2 linked regions of the Astyanax mexicanus genome follow. The protein of the gene in region 1 binds, or shares a complex with, the protein of each later gene. Links are inferred from orthologs where the notes say so. Each region holds a gene or a part of one and is shown on either strand. Other genes may lie near its edges.

Evidence for each region. The genes of interacting proteins can lie anywhere in the genome.
Region 2: the proteins of myo5aa (region 1) and spire2 are in contact, whole or in part, in a crystal structure (PDB 5JCY), measured with the Homo sapiens proteins. The link is inferred for Astyanax mexicanus from reciprocal best matches to the Homo sapiens genes MYO5A and SPIRE2. Residues at the interface, in NP_001369276.1 of Homo sapiens: Asp1551, Val1554, Arg1555, Thr1559, Ile1562, Asn1563, Lys1566, Ser1597, Gly1598, Leu1615, Thr1616, Asn1617, Phe1618, Asp1619, Leu1620, Ala1621, Glu1622, Tyr1623, Val1626, Asp1629, Leu1630, Gln1633; in NP_115827.1 of Homo sapiens: Arg404, Pro405, Arg406, Val407, Leu408, Leu409, Lys410, Ala411, Pro412, Thr413, Leu414, Met417, Glu418, Met420.

What each region holds. Positions count from the first base shown.
Region 1 is NC_064416.1:41,740,338-41,748,586, forward strand, and holds the start of myo5aa (unconventional myosin-Va), read left to right. Parts: upstream 1-5,207; 5' UTR 5,208-5,432; coding exon 5,433-5,474; intron 5,475-7,658; exon of another isoform or gene 7,659-8,101; coding exon of another isoform or gene 8,102-8,249. Other genes in the region: arpp19a (cAMP-regulated phosphoprotein 19a), read left to right, coding at 527-700; uncharacterized protein LOC111196951, read right to left, coding at 8,102-8,249. UniProt on the Homo sapiens protein: Processive actin-based motor that can move in large steps approximating the 36-nm pseudo-repeat of the actin filament. Can hydrolyze ATP in the presence of actin, which is essential for its function as a motor protein. Involved in melanosome transport.
Region 2 is NC_064417.1:11,048,313-11,056,219, forward strand, and holds the start of spire2 (protein spire homolog 2), read left to right. Parts: upstream 1-4,490; 5' UTR 4,491-4,698; intron 4,699-7,907. UniProt on the Homo sapiens protein: Acts as an actin nucleation factor, remains associated with the slow-growing pointed end of the new filament.

The sequences.
Region 1 (8,249 bases):
CAGACCTTTCTTAAACATGCAATGAAATGCCTAAAGCACAAACTTTCCTCTACCAAAACATTAAAAGATTTAAACAAATATTTATAACTTACAACCCATTATAATTTTAGGAGCAAACGTGACATTTGTAAATTTATTTGCCTTATGTTTTATCTTTTAAATGCATGCAAACAATAAAATGAAAGGTTTCTCCTGAGAAATCAGTTTTTAAAATGTTTTATTTCAGTCATAATTACGAGATGCCAAGTCATAATTACGAGATGCCAATTCATGATTATGGGATGCTAAGTCATAATTATGAGACAGTAAGTCATTATGAGATACTAAGTCATAATTTTTAGATGTTAAGTTAGAATTATGAGATAATACCCCCAGACTTAGCATTTTATAACATGACTTAGTCTCTTATAATTATGACTTGCTATCTCATAATTATGAGTTGGTAAAGGACCTTTTTCCATAGTTTCGTCACTGTGTAAAACAGATTTAATGACAGGCTTTTTTTTATTTTTTTTTACTCTTTTAGCAGCAAAAGTACTTCGACTCTGGCGACTACAACATGGCGAAGGCCAAGATCAAGAACAAGCAGCTGCCGGCGGCGCAGACAGAGAAGGCGGAAATAACGGGGGACCACATCCCAACGCCTCAGGACCTGCCCCAGAGGAAACCCTCTCTGGTGGCCAGCAAACTGGCTGGCTGACCTGCCCTGTCCACCAGCGTCTGGCTCTCCGCAATGCAACATGCTGCTCTCTCTCTTTCTTTATTTTACTCATTGTCTGCCATGTTTAACACTCCACACTCTCTCAAAACAGATGTGTAAAATGAATACACTGGCGTTTCTGTCTTTGCTGCATCTGTAGCCTTTGGAGTCTGAACACACTTGTACTAGATCTCATTGGGCTGTTACTGTACCAGCCCAAACACAGGATAGGATGATGCTTTTAACACCATCTGTGTGTTTTATTATATTCAACGCAGGCAGTGTGTTCACATTTGTAATACAAATGTACATATATTAGCTTGATCTCGTCTGTTTTAAAGTATGTTAATCCAGTGATGATACAAATAGTGTATTTATTATCACATCAGTTTTGAGAGTCCCTCACCCTCTCACTTCATTTTCTGTTAATACAGATTCATATTCACTTTTACCTCCATCTACAAAATACACTGAAGATAGACGTATGCAGGTAGTCGTACCGGACAGGGCGCCGTGGTATTGCAGTCAATGGCTTGTGTGTGGGGGTGGTAGGGGGGATACAAATGTCTTTATAAAGATTTATATGTGCAGTAGGTGATGTAGATGAAAGTGTACATATTTGCTTGTGTTGAGAGGAGAAAAAAAAACAGCATTTTAGTGAAGTTTTGTTTTTATTGCACCATTCCCAAAGCTTACAAATGACTGGAGCAATGTGCTTGAATGATTGATTGATTAATTGAATACAACCTCTCATAAGCTGTTCTGAATCTGCATCATGAGTTTTCGTTTTTCTGTTTGTGAACATTTCAGCTTTAAGGACCCAAAATGGACCATACTGCTGTTGAACGTCCATTTGAAAGTCATCTGGCACTGTTTATGTAAGGCTGCTGTGGACTCGCCACCTTTGTCACCACCATTTCTGTTAAAAATGGCCTAAACCAATCACAATTCTGGTGTAGAGTTGTCATCGCTAACCTGAAGGCCAAACCAAAATTAAGTGGTAAGGATGGGCGGTATGGAAACAGTGAAATATCATAATTTTACAGTTTTACAGAGGCTTGTGAACAAGGGACAGACCAAACATACCAGCAGCACAGCAGTTTTTAAAAAGGAGATAAATCATGATTTCTAGCACGTGTTTACAGAAATATACAATATAAGTGAAAACAATAGGCAAAGAAAGAAATAATTGGTCAACATGAATGAATACAGTAATGGCATAATGAGCTGACCATTGAACTTCCTATCACTATGCAGTTACTATAGACCGGATTTTGTTTACAGGCTCTGTATAGTTGGTCTGAATTCTATTCGACTCCATGCAGTTCTTCTAATACTACACTCAGTAAAGTGTACTGTGACGTAACTAATTGCGAGAGTAACGATGCACCATCATAACGCCCACCCCTAACACTCATGAAAACGAGCTTCACAGCATGACCCGACCTAATTTGGAACAAGGCCACAACTGGGGCCAGACCAGTTGTAGAAAAAATACATTTCTCACCGAGGTCCTCTTTGTCAATTTCATGAAGCACTACACACTAAACCACCTGGGCCAGGGTGCACATGGGCATCGACCGCAGTCACTTTTGTGCCATTTGATTTGTAAATAAAATAGTTTTGCAAACCTGTGCATTCTCACTTTGTCCTTTTTCATATATAATTATTTTGTTTCAGTAATTCAGTTTATTTAACTGTAATCTATTTTAAGTGTTTATTTTTTTGTTGATTATGGCTTACAGCTAATGAAAACCCAAAAGTCAGTGTCTCAAAAAACCAATTGGTACTTTTGGCAGTGTGCCAAGTCCTGCTGGAAAATGAAATCCGCCATCTCCATAAAAGTTGTCAGTAGCAGAGGGAAGCACGAAGTGCTGTAAGATATTGTGCGAAAGCATAACTGCACTGACTTTAGACTTGATAATAAAACACAGTGGATCAACACCAGCAGATGACATGTTTCTCCAAACCATCACTGATCATCAGTAAATTTTACATTTCATTTGTAAATCAGGGGATCAGAGTCTGGAGGAAGAGTGGAGAGACACACAGTCCAAACTGCTCGAGGTCTAGTGTGAAGTTTCCACCAATCAGTGATGGTTTGGAGTCATGAGACCTGCTGGTGTTGATCCACTGTGTTATAATCAAGAAAAAAAACACTAATTATGACGCAGTTGGTGCACTTGAGGTGGAATAGAAGGAAAATAAATGAGTATTTTACCGCTTTCTATCATTGGCACCTTTACTGCTCTACTGTTTAAGGTGGAACAAAAACAACTGGACTACATAACAACATAATTTTAAAGGAATTTTAAGAGTGTGAAGGGGGGGGGGGGGGATTAGGGGAGTTTAAACAAGTTTTAGACAGTAGACATCTATCAAATAGTGTTCACAGAGTTTTAATTGATGTACATTTACAGTGGTGCTTTGAAGCTTTTGAGATTGTGGACTGAGCTGCTGCACTCTTTTTATATATATATTTTCCAGTGGCTCTGGATCCTAGATTATTTATTAAATCACCCAATGGAAAAAAATGATCACAAATTTACCTGACTTCTACAAAGAACCTAAGGTGACATCATGTGAAAAAATAATAATGTGTGGCCATTACTTATTTAGGCGTTAGAATAAGATCCTAAGGCATGGAAACAAGATAATTAAGTCGTAGCCAGAGAATAATAAAGCTGGCTTTTCTGTAAATTAATGCAGAGGAAGAAGACTGCATATTACATCAAAGCTCCTTTAATCCAAGAATAATCTTAAATTGGAATTAATTATGGTGATATTTTAGAGTCTCATGCAGTGAGACATGGCATTATTCTAAATAAAAGACACTTAAATCTCATACTAAAAGCTCACGGGCTCAGACAGTATGCAAATCCGATCTCAAATATCAAAATACACAAGAAACAAAAAACAATTCCTGAATTTAAATAAATTATATCTACACTTAATTTTATTTTGAACATATTGTTGTATGTTTCAAAGTTCAAGCTTAAAACCTGAATTTTCTGTTTCCATTCTTTCTTTACAAATGAACTAAATCTCTGTCCCTGTTTTTGCTCTATAATATGGTGCCTATCTAACATACAAAAATAAACATTTTATGAAGCTAAGAGCAGGTTTAGCTCATTTTAGCCCCCTGCTGATCTTCCTCATGGGCACCTCATTGCAAATCATTCTCTCCAGCCTGCACAGAAAGAGCACCTACATACAGAGCACATTTCATTTGATTTCTACATTGTAGATTCATATTAAAGACAAAAAATAAACAATTAAGGGACATATGGAAATACGTAGTAAAAAAAAAAATTGTCCTTCACAATTCCCTGATCTAAACCTAAACAACTGAGATGGTGATTTGAGATGAGCTGGAGCTTCTGAACAATAATAAAATAAAAAGAAATGAAATAACATTCTGCATGTAGGACTTTTATCTATCATGTTTGATACATCAGGATTTATTGCTCACAGGTCACAATGTGCTGTTAACATTTTCCTCAACCAAACTGTACAATTTGTATTTTTCTGATGCCTGCAGTGCATGGAAAATCTTTTAGGTTAGCATATACTCTAGAGTGTTAGGATGCAGTACACACCTGGGACACAGCTTAGTTTTTATACAAAAATGTTATACAGAGCCTTGGTAGGTTACAGTTGTTCACAAAATAGAAACAGACAAACGTTTACATTTTTTTTTGTTGTTGGTTGTTTCTTAAGTCAAGTCAAATCAAGTCAAGTAGTTTTTATTGTCAATACTGCATATGTACAGAACATAGCCTACAAAGAACTGAAATTACGTTACTCTCCTTCAAAAAAAATACAGCAAGTACAGAAAATAAGATTCTAAATATAAAATATAAATATATGGGAGACACTATATTTACAATACAACAAGGACACAAATAGACATACGTGAGACAAAAGCGATATTGCAATAGTTATAGAGGGTGATTAAGAGGGAATGACAGTACCAGTATAAACAGAACCTGTATAAACATTAGTGCAAATATAGTGAATAATAGCTTACGGCTGGTGGGGTGTAGGAGTGTGTAAAATTCTTAAAATTCAAATGAAATAAAATTTCTAATAAATGGAAGGAAATGTTGTATTTATGTTATTTTATTATATATATATATATATATATATATATATATATATATATATATATATATATATATATATATATATATATATATATATATTTTTTTTTTTTTTTTTTTTTTTTCATTTTTTAACCTTGTAACCAGCACAGGTTGGATTATATCACAGGAAAATTATAATTTTTCGTTCCTAAAATTCAGATTGTGATGAGCAGAAATTATTATTATTATTTTTTTTAGAAAACTGGAAAATACAACAGCATTTAGAATTATTTTTTTTCTTTACTATATCAAATGCTCTGATTTTGTAAATAACACAAGATGATGGGGTGAGCACCAGGGGGCAGCCTCAGCTCATTTTACCCCCCCTCCTCCTCCTCCTGCTGCTGCTCCTCCTCATGGGCACCTCGGTGCACACAAATCATTTTCTCCAGCCTTAACACACACTCACTCACACAGAGCCGCGGCAGAGGAGCGATGAGCGACCCGAGCTGTAGATCAGCGAGCCCGGCGCTGGACTGACTGGAGGCTCGGGGAGAAGCGTCAGGCTGGAGAGAGGAGCTCGATCAGAGGCCTGGATGCTCCTTTAACCTACCGAGACTGAGCTAAACACACACACTGACGCTTTAATGGCAACAACCACCATGGCCGCGTCCGAGCTCTACACAAAGGTAACAGCACTGAGTGTGGAGAGAGGGAGAGAGGGAGGGGGCTCTGGGGGGTTTATACTGGGGGGCTGAGATCTGAGACTGTCTTCAGTGGGTTTAAGAGGAAAACCCAGTGATCCTAAGGAATGAATGAACGGATCTGTGGTGTGGTGTAGCAGCCCTGTGCTCGAGCCTAATTTTTCTACCTGATAACGATGAAATGATGCAATGTCAGAGAGACTGGGGGTCTTTCTGTGGCTGCTGACGCTTTGAGATGCTGTAGGGTGGGTTTCTAATGGGCTGGGTGAAGTGTTTGGTTTGGTCAGGCTGTGATTTGTCCTTCATATAGGTTATATGAGGCTGAATGAAGTGCGTAGGTTTTATAGGGTGTTGTGGATACGATCTCTGCTTATTAATATGGATTAAATGTGTAAAATAATTAAATTAATGATATATTTAACGACGTATATTACTTAAACCCCTTAAGCCTCTGTTGATGGATACTTTTATTGTATTTTCACGAAGCTACAACAACAGATCCGAGCTGAGAATGCATTTCTGGAAGGCCTCGGCTGTGAGTGATGGTTTTGTGTGTGTGTGTGTGTGTGTGTGTGTGTGTGTGTGTGTGTGTTTGGTGCTGGATGGATGCTGGCTGGAGGGACTGCAGGGAAGGAGGGGGATGCTGGGTACCGCGGATGCTGATGCTGCTGCTAGCATCATCGGCCAGCAACGTCACTTCGGCGTCGTGACGTCACCCCCTTGTTTTGAAACGTCTTGCAGCCCAGCCCTGCCTAGAGATAAAAATATACAGCTCTGGAAAAAATAAGAGAGCACCTAAAAACGATGAGTTTCTTTGATTTTACCAAATTGAAAACCTCTAGAATATAATCAAGAGGAAGATGATTTATCACAAGCCATCAAACCAAACTGAACTGCTTGAATTGTGCAAAAAGCAGTGTGTGAGACTGGTGGAGGAGAACATGATGCCAAGATGCATGAAAAAAAAAAACTGTGATTAAAAACCAGGGTTATTCCACCAAATATTGATTTCTGAACTCTTACAACTTTAGCTCTGCATCTTTTTTGTTATTTCAGCCATTTCTATTTCATTTCTATTTCTATTTTCATTTTTATTTGGAATTTGGGGGAAATAGTAGTTTATAGAATAAAACAACAATGTTTATTTTACTAAAACATATACCTATAAAAAGCAAAATCAGAGAAACTGATTCAGAAACAGAAGTGGACTCTTATTTTTTTCCAGAGCTGTATATACACATGCACATCCAGTACCAGTCATAATTTTGGACACATCTCTTCTCATTCAATGTGTTTTCTTTTTTTTATGGTTTTCTACGTTGTAGATTAATATCGTCGCTGTCCGATGAAAAGCACGTATCTCCAAAAACCGGACTTTTCAGGAAAAGCAAAAAACGTTTTTAATTAAATAATATTGGGTAAAATAAACAACAGATAACGCTGTTTACATATAATTTAGTTCTAAAATTCATATATATTATTTTGATTTCTTAAGTTCTATAGTTTTATATGTTAAATGGACTTACGTGCTTTGTACACGGCAAAAAGGACATACGCGGGTGTTCCATACGCGGGCGTTACAGTGAATTCCAAAGAGTCACGTCCACCAAGCTGCGCAGTTTGAACGCTCTCCTTACACTCTACCGGTATAAATCATGTTTTAACGGGAGCAGAGTCTAGTATTACTGTTATTGACTAAAAATCACACTGAATCCTTAGTGTGACTTATTGTTTCCATGCTGGTTTAATATCTGACGCGCGGAAATGCGCGATCAGCTGATCCTCATACCCCAAAAGAGACCAAACATTACATTAAAAAAAACTACGAAAATATTTTTCTACAAAACGGGTTTTCCCCAACACAGCATATTTAAACAGTTGATTATATTAGCAAGACCTGGACTGTTTACATATTGTTTTGCACAATACCTTACTGCCTTTTAAAGAGGCAGGATGCATGCTCCTGGTGTCCTCTGCTCCCACCTTTTGGAATCAACCAATGCATACATCTTTCACAAATCAGTTTAGCCAGATAACTAGCTAGGAAATTCCTACTGAACAATTCTTAACACTAAAATCTGAATAATTCAGAAATATAATTCAGAAATACTGCATTGTAAAATATTTGTTATATTTTAATCTATTCTGCATCAAGAACACAACATGACAGATATTTATAGATTTATTAAGAAATGTTTTACTATGTCACTTAGATACCTTTCAACTAATACAAATTTAAAAGTTACAGACAATGTAATTTATAAATCAAGTTATTATTTACTGTACGAGGAAACGTCAATCATTTAATAAAAACCTCATATAAATTTCAGATATGTACAAGAAAAAACATACGAACCAACAAACATTTCAATAGAATAACCTGTATCAACTACTAATAAAATGTTATATCTCTTTTTGATAAATAACTAAATTCCATGTAGATATTGGATACAAATCTGAATTACTTGTGGGAAATCATTAGGAAAACACATAAATCATGTTTTGAGACTCACAGTCAGACTCAAGAAAATGGTCTGTGGCTTTTTTTTTTTTATGTACACACGTGAGCCAACTCCACATTAAACAGTGAACCTGCAGACTGGTGATGCATATCACTCATAGTTAAGTGAATCATAAAATCCATGAAAGTCCTTGGGAATGAAATTCTTAAGTTCTTGGAGGTGCTTGTATTTCAGCGCCTTGATTCTCAGGCTGGATGTGTACAGTGGTAGCACTGTGGTGTCACTGTTCCTCTTCCTA
Region 2 (7,907 bases), on another chromosome or scaffold:
GTCTGGGGCTGCAATGAGTGCAGCAGGTGTTGTGGAGTTACATTTTATTGAGGGACACATGAACTCCAATATGTACTGTGCAATACTGAAGCAGAGCATGATCACCTCCTTCCAGAAACTGGGTTCCAACATGATAATGACCCCAAACATACCTCTAAACCGACCACTGCTTTATTGAAGAGGCTGAGGGTAAAGGAGATGGACCGGCCAAGCGTGTCTCCAGACCTAAAACCAATAGAACATCTTTGGGGAATCCTCAAGCAGAAGGTGGAGGTGTGCAAAGTCTGGAATAACCGCCAGCTCCCTGATGTCGTCATGGAGGAGTGTAAAAGCATTCCAGTGGCAACCTGTGAAGCTATGGTAAACTTCAAGAGAGTTAAGGCAGTTCTGGAATATGATGGTGGCCATACAAAAAACTGACACTTCAGGAACTTTTATTAAGGGGGTTATTCACCTTTGTTGACATTAATGGCAGTATATTGAGTTACTTTGAGGATATAATACATTTACACTGTTATATAAGCTGCACACACACTACTTTTCATTGTGTTAAAGTTTCATTTTGTCAGTGTGGTTCCATAAAGAGACATACTTAAATATCTGCAGAGGGTGTACTCACTTTTGTGATACAGTGTAAGTATCTAGGCATCTGGCTGGATGAAAAACTCTCATTTAAAACTCACATTAATAATTTAGTTATTAAGTGCAGACAGAGACTGGGATTTCTTTATCGTAATAAATCTTGTCTGCCTATGTTTGACAGAAAAAAACCCCACAAGATTCAGTCTGTCATTCTGTTCTAAGGTTTATTACTGGTGACCCGCTCTCACCACTTTACCAAAAGTAGGCTGGTCCTCCTCGACGGGAAACTGGCTTATATTCATTTATAACTGGCTCTCAGGCCATATGCCATTTAATAGCTTATATCTTATATGTTTTCTATTTATAACAGTAATTAGCAGACCACCTCTAGTGACTGGATCACCTGTCAGGTTCCTAAAGTTTTTACTGAACTGGAAAATCTGCTTTTAGCTACAGAACATTGTGTGAGCTGGAATTCATTACAGGAAACTCTTAAACTCTTTTAGTTTCTAACCACCTTCAGACAGGCTGTACCTGTTTTAGTTAAGTTTTTCTTTTATTATTTATTTATTTTGTTTGTTTTTGTTATTCTATTTGTTTTATTGATCATTTTTGTTTACCTTTTAGCCTCTTCATTTGTTTTATTTATGTTATTCATTTCATCCTTTTGTTCATTTTATTACCTGCTTTACTTTTGGCCTTTTACCTTTTTATTTCATTTATTCTATCCTCTGTTTTACCTGTTGTTTTATTTTCATCACTTACTTTCTTTATAATCTTGATGTTTTTTTTAGCTACTTCATTTTTTAGTCCTCTATTTCTTTATTTGTGTTTATATTTTATTGTTTTGATTATTTATTTTGGATTGTATTGCTTTACATTTTAACATTTCCATTTATGCTTCTGTTTTGAATTATTTTTTCTTCGTAATTAATTGTTTTATTTAAGCTTAATTCAAGCTTACATTGTTTTTTTTTTTTGTTTTTCAAATGCTCTTACAGTTTATTTTTTTTATTGTTTTGTTTATAAAGTCCCTTATTTCCCCTGATTACATACTTGGTTTTAATTTTAATTTATTTTTCAGTCCCTTTAGGTTGTAAATGCTCGGCTGCATTGAAAATAAGGGTTACCCTCAATGATTAATTAATTCTGTTCTGAGTCTTTGAAACTAAAGGTGAAAAGGCCAGACTGAGACATTGAAGTAACATTTGTGTAGGTGCTGCATAGGTGCACTTTTGTACGGGTATGCAGAAAGAGGCACTCAATAAAACACATGAGTTTCCATAAAAGGTGTCCATAAAAGAGTTAAGTTGTAATATTTTACAAGAGGAGATTATTGTTTAAACTGGAGTCTGGAGACTGGGTAACTATTTGATCAGGTAGCAGGGTGATGTGATCATACACTGACAAACTTGATGCTGATAATTATGCATGTATTAGTATTGTTTTATAGAGGTTGGTATTGATCTTTGAATCTTTGACCTGTGAAGGACCACAACCCCCTATACTTTCGCCATTATTGATCAACAAAAAACTCCTTACAATGAACTTTTATTACTTTAGTTAGTTAAATTAGCCTTTGAGCTTCAATGCAAAACATACCCTAAACACGTCTTGGCTGACAGAAGTAGAGGAAACTGAATGTTTTATTTCACACTAAACTAACGCTTTAGTTCAATACTGCATGCCAACCTAATACAGTGATAGAATATTGCCACCTTTTAGTAGATTTAATTTAGCAGCAAACACCAGCATTGTTGAGCTGCTGGAACAGAAGGCCATGGCAGTCTCAGGAAGTAATACTGTTTCCAGTTCTGCACCCACACTCCAGCTTATTTATACTGAGGTCTTTTTTAAATAAAATAAATATTTTTCAAACTTTTAGTAACTTATAAACAACCTACCATGTTGGTAGAAGCATCTGAGTTTTTAGTATTCCTGTTAATAAGTCAATTTTGCTATGTATTATAGATATAGAATCTGTTGTCTATGAGACACAAAGTTATGCAGTTTAGAATATTTAACTGGACCAAAGCAAATTATATGCTATACTTTATCAATTTGGAGACGATTAGGTACACACTTAAGGGGTCAACAGATAGATTTACATCAATATGGCAGTCCTTTTTTAGTCATGTTGAGGCTTTGAGCTCAACTAAGCACTAAGCAGTGTATGCGCACATTGATTTATCTAGGTAAATTTTTTGTTACTTGTATATTTTTGTGTTTATGTATTTATTTATAGATTTTCCTTTATTTTTCTCTGTAGCAAGTGTTATTTTTTTAACAATAAGTTAAAAAAAACACAAATAAATAAAGATTGTTTAAAAAAAATTGCATGCTTTATTTGCAGCTAGTTTTCCATAGTAGACTCAGTTACTGTGGTAAAGTTAGTTTTATGTTTGACATACTCTCTACAAATATATATTTCTTACATATTACAAGCCGTAAAAAATAGTCAATTTATTTCTATTTCAACTTTATTAGTCAAATAATTGCATTAAACTCAATCATCGTTAGAAGAAAATATTTAACATAAAGTTGGTTTGAATTGAATACTTCTAACGATGGTTTGAGCATTTATTTGATAATTAATTTAATATAAAATAAATGAACCGACTACTTAAAATAATAATCAGTGTAACATGTAAGGAATATATATCTTTACATGACAAAATTGATTTGAAATTATTACTTCTAACGATAATTGAGTTCAATGCATTTTTTGACGTTTAATTCATTATAAAATAAATAAACCGACTAATTAAAAAAGTAAGCCTTGTAACATGTAAGGAACATTTATTATAAAATAAATTAACTGACTCATTAAAAAAGTAAGCTTTGTTATATTTAAGGATGATATATATATATATATATATATATATATATATATATATATATATATATATATATATATATATATATACAAGAAAAAGTTGATTTGAGACTATTACATTCATTGATAATTTATTTGACTAATAAAGTTGTGTAAAATAGAAATAAATTGACTATTTATTTTGTTTACGGCTTGTAATATGTAAGAAATATATATTTGTAGAGAGTATTGTTGTTTTGCCATCATGGAATTACATTTGGGACAGTTTAATAGATTTGTTCGTTTTTTGCTTTTTGCGTCTGTAATTGTGCTACGGTCTCCAAGAGAGCAGCACGCTGTTGGAAGGAGGAACGGGGTGAGAGCGCTCTCGTTGCGGCTGTATTTTGGTTAAATATGATGTAATGCAAACAATCTTCAGTAAAAACTGTGGTTGTAGTTTGTTGTGTTCCCTCATTAAAGCAAGAAACCACAATTATATTGATGAATCTACATTTTGATTAAGGGGGAGGAAGTCCGGAATTCTGAATCTCTCACGAATGTCAAAAATAAACTCTACCACAGTGATGCAGTAGCTACCAGTTTTCCACTTTTACTGTCAGTCTGTGTTCATGCTTACATTAGTATTACCATCTTACTCCTGATCTTTATTCTATTCTCGTTTTCTACACTCTATCACTGTTGTAACATTTCTATGTCCTGACCAGAGAATGTTACAGCAATCACATGGGCATCTGTTTTAACTGTAAACACAAAATAAATTCGAACAAATTTCTTACATTTTATTGTAGTCTTTCTGTTTTTCCTTTTATTCAAAACGTTTAAATAGTGTTTTCTTTAATTTCCTTATTTTATCAACATTCTATCCCAGTTTAAATTAAACTTGGAGCATATTTCTGTTTTTCCTTTTTATTCAGTGTTTGCACAGCGTTTACATGCGGCACAGCCCGCCATCTACAGGCGGCCGCGTGTAACTGCTGTGAGCATTTAAAGTGGAAAGACAATCCCAATAAGACGCTGGTAAATAAAAAAACTTCAGCGTCTTGGCAATTTAGGTAATTGTACAAAAGATTGTTATTTGACCAGGTTGCATCACTCTAGTTCAGTAGGTCTGTAGTTTAGTGTTTAGTGTTTTACATGTAGTTCTTATTTTCGCCAGTAGGTGGACCCTGTTGCACTAGTGTACAATCCTACACAATGTGGTTCAGAGAGGTATTAGTATGACACAGCCTTTCATTTAATCAGTCTCACCGTGTGCCTCTTACTGTGTGCGTCCATTGAAAGTGAGTAAGATTGTTTTTGCCTGTTTTCTTTGTTTAATCTAAGATCTAAAGCTATATTATTATTAAGGTTGTCAAGTACCATGATTCTTTGTCAAGTATTATGCTTATTTGAGTTATTTGGAAGATTGAACTACTAGTCAATTAGCATTAGCTAATCGAGGCCTGTAGGCCTGTACGTGACATAAAATATAGTCTGTGGCTAATATTTCTTACTAAAATGCCTTCTTATTAGTTAGGTATACTTTGTTGAGTAAAATACTGGAAGTATTAGTGTTTAGTTTCTATGTATTTATGTTGTACATTTTATATCTGTGAATTGCTACGTTAAGCATTGTGTAAGCTCTTCATTAAGTGTATTCTCTACTATTTCAAGCTTTTCTTATATTTCTTTTTATAGATAAACCACACACATACACACATGTACAGCCAGGATAATGCTCATGCATTATTAAAGTCAAGTTGTATTCTGGAGCTGGATCTGAATGTTCTTTCATCTCACCTCACCTGAACATTATAATTGATATCCTGACCCGATCCCTGAAGTGATTGCAACTCTTAATACAAACCAGATATAGTCCACGTTACAATTTTGGTCCTTTGAGCCGGATTCAAGCAACCACTACAGTCAATATGTCCAGGTCACAAGAGAGAGATGTCAGAAACAGAAACAGGCCACAGAGATCGAGACACATTCCATCCTATCTACAGGATTATGAAGTCAGCTACACCCCAAGGTGTCATGTACTGGATGATGAGCAAAGATCTTCATCTGAAGTGTTTAGATTTCTCCGCAGCATGAAAGAAGAAAATTGCCAACTATGCAGAGATGTCCAGCGTCTTACAGACATGATCCAGCAATCTCCTGGGCAGGCCTCACAACCTCGGTCGCTGCATAAGCATGGAGAGGACAATACATCAACTATACCAGCACCTACAAGTAGGCCGACGCCATCTAGTGGTCATAAAGACCCACGTCAGCTAGTAAGTGCCCCACTGGTGCACAGTGATGTTCCTCCATCTCTACAAGGTTGCTGCTGTGACTCTATTGAGGACCTCGAGTGCAGCTTGCAGAAAGCAGGATTGATCACTAAAGATGACAATTCTCCTGTGACCTCTCGAAGTTCATCTCCCTGCTCCAAGCTTCTGGATTTAGACGTTGAGGATTGTCCAGAGAAGGAACCATCACGTCACAAGGACTTTAAGCCACACAGAAGAACTTGTGATAAGTCAAGTGATAGCCAACGGCCACGTCCCAAAGCAGCATCCATTCCAGGTGCCAAGTATCATTCGGAGTATGAGGGTGAATACGACAGCTACGACAAGCCCTATCATCATGACGACAGATATCACCGCACTTACAGTATCCCTCTACCTAAGTCAAGTCATCCATACTACAGTGATGATTGTAGTCCCTCTAAGCCCTACCGATCAAGTAGCCTAAGAGCTCACCGTGAAAGCCGTTACTATGGGCCTGAGAGGGGATGCTCTCCTGATTACAGAGGTTACCCTGATGATTGTGATGCATCTCATCATGGATATGACAGAGAGAGATATAGAGACAGATACTCACCTGACCAGCAGTACTATTCTTCACGTTGTGCTTCTCACTATGACAAACACCCAGCTCTAGATGTCTATCGTGGTCCCAAGCCAACTATCCCTGATTTTAAGTCCGAGGACCCCCGTGAGTTTGTCAGATTGAAACTAGCCCTGGACAATTTACTCCCTTATGATGCTCTAGAGCACTTTAAGTTTCAAATACTCACAGACCATCTTAAGTGTGAAGAGGCACTACTTATAGCTGACTCCTACACTAACAGTCCAGGCCCATTCACAGACACTATAAGGGCACTCACTGAGATGTATGGTCAACCACAGCAGTTGGCACTGAAGAGGATTTCAAATCTGATGGACGGACCAAATATCCGTGCTGGGGATGTTAAAGCTTTCAAGTCATTTGCCCTTCAGGTTCGTGCTTTAGTGGGAATGCTGCAACAACTTGGAAGTCAAGGATGGACAGAACTGCGGTGTGGTTCACATGTCTCTCGCCTTTTAGCCAAGTTGCCACATGACCTAAGAGCAAACTTTCACAGATTTGTGAATCCACTTAGGCTTAATTCGTGTTGGTGGTAGGCTCCGTAGATGTGACAGCCTAAGTCCAGATGTTCTGCATCCCATTCTCCTTTCCTCCTCTCACACGGTTTCCAAACTCCTGATTCAGCATTATGACCACCAGCTACACCACCCTGGAGCGGAGCGTGTTTTTGCAGAGCTGCGCAGGAAGTATTGGCTATTGAGAGGCAGAGAGGCAGTCAAGAAACACCAGCGTAACTGTGTGGAATGCAGGAAATGGAGAGGCAGCCCCCAAGTTCCACGAATGGCAGACTTACCCCCCTCCAGTTTGCGACTTTTCCAACCCGCCTTCTATTCAACAGGAGTCGACTGCTTTGGCCCTATGCTCATAAAGGTGGGACGACGCACTGAAAAAAGGTGGGGTATCCTGTACAAGTGCCTTACAACTCGAGCTATCCATCTCGACCTGCTACCGAACATGGACACAGACTCGTTTCTGATGTCACTCAGACGCTTCATAGCTCGCAGAGGAAAGCCCCATTAGATCCTTTCTGATCAAGGCACTAATTTTAAAGGAGGAAGCAAAGAGCTCCATGAAGCCTTCCATGCCATGGAACCTGCAGTTACGAACCACCTTGCTTCTCAACAGATTCGCTTTCGTTTTAATCCCCCCAATGCTCCACATTTTGGTGGATCATGGGAGCGAGAAGTGAGATCTGTTAAGAACGCCCTCCGCACCACTCTAGGAGCTCAGATTGTGCCAGAGGAGGTGTTAATGACTGTCCTCATCGAAGTAGAAGGCATAATCAACTCTAGGCCAATGGGCTATGTTTCCTCTGATCCCAGACCCAGTCACGCCCAACTGCTTGTTGATGGGGCGGCCAGACTCCACACTTCCACAAGTGGTCTATCCTGAGTGTGAACTGTTAAGTCGGAAAAGGTGGCGTCATTCACAGGTGTTAGCGGATCACTTCTGGAAGCACTACATTCACCACTTTCTGCCCACCTTACAAGCTCGGCAGAAATGGCAGACAGAGAAAGATGCCATTACTGTCGGCACTGTAGTTCTTATTGTTGATCAGAAGGCACCAAGAGCCCTCTGGCAAGTAGGGACAGTGAAGAGTGTCATACCTGGA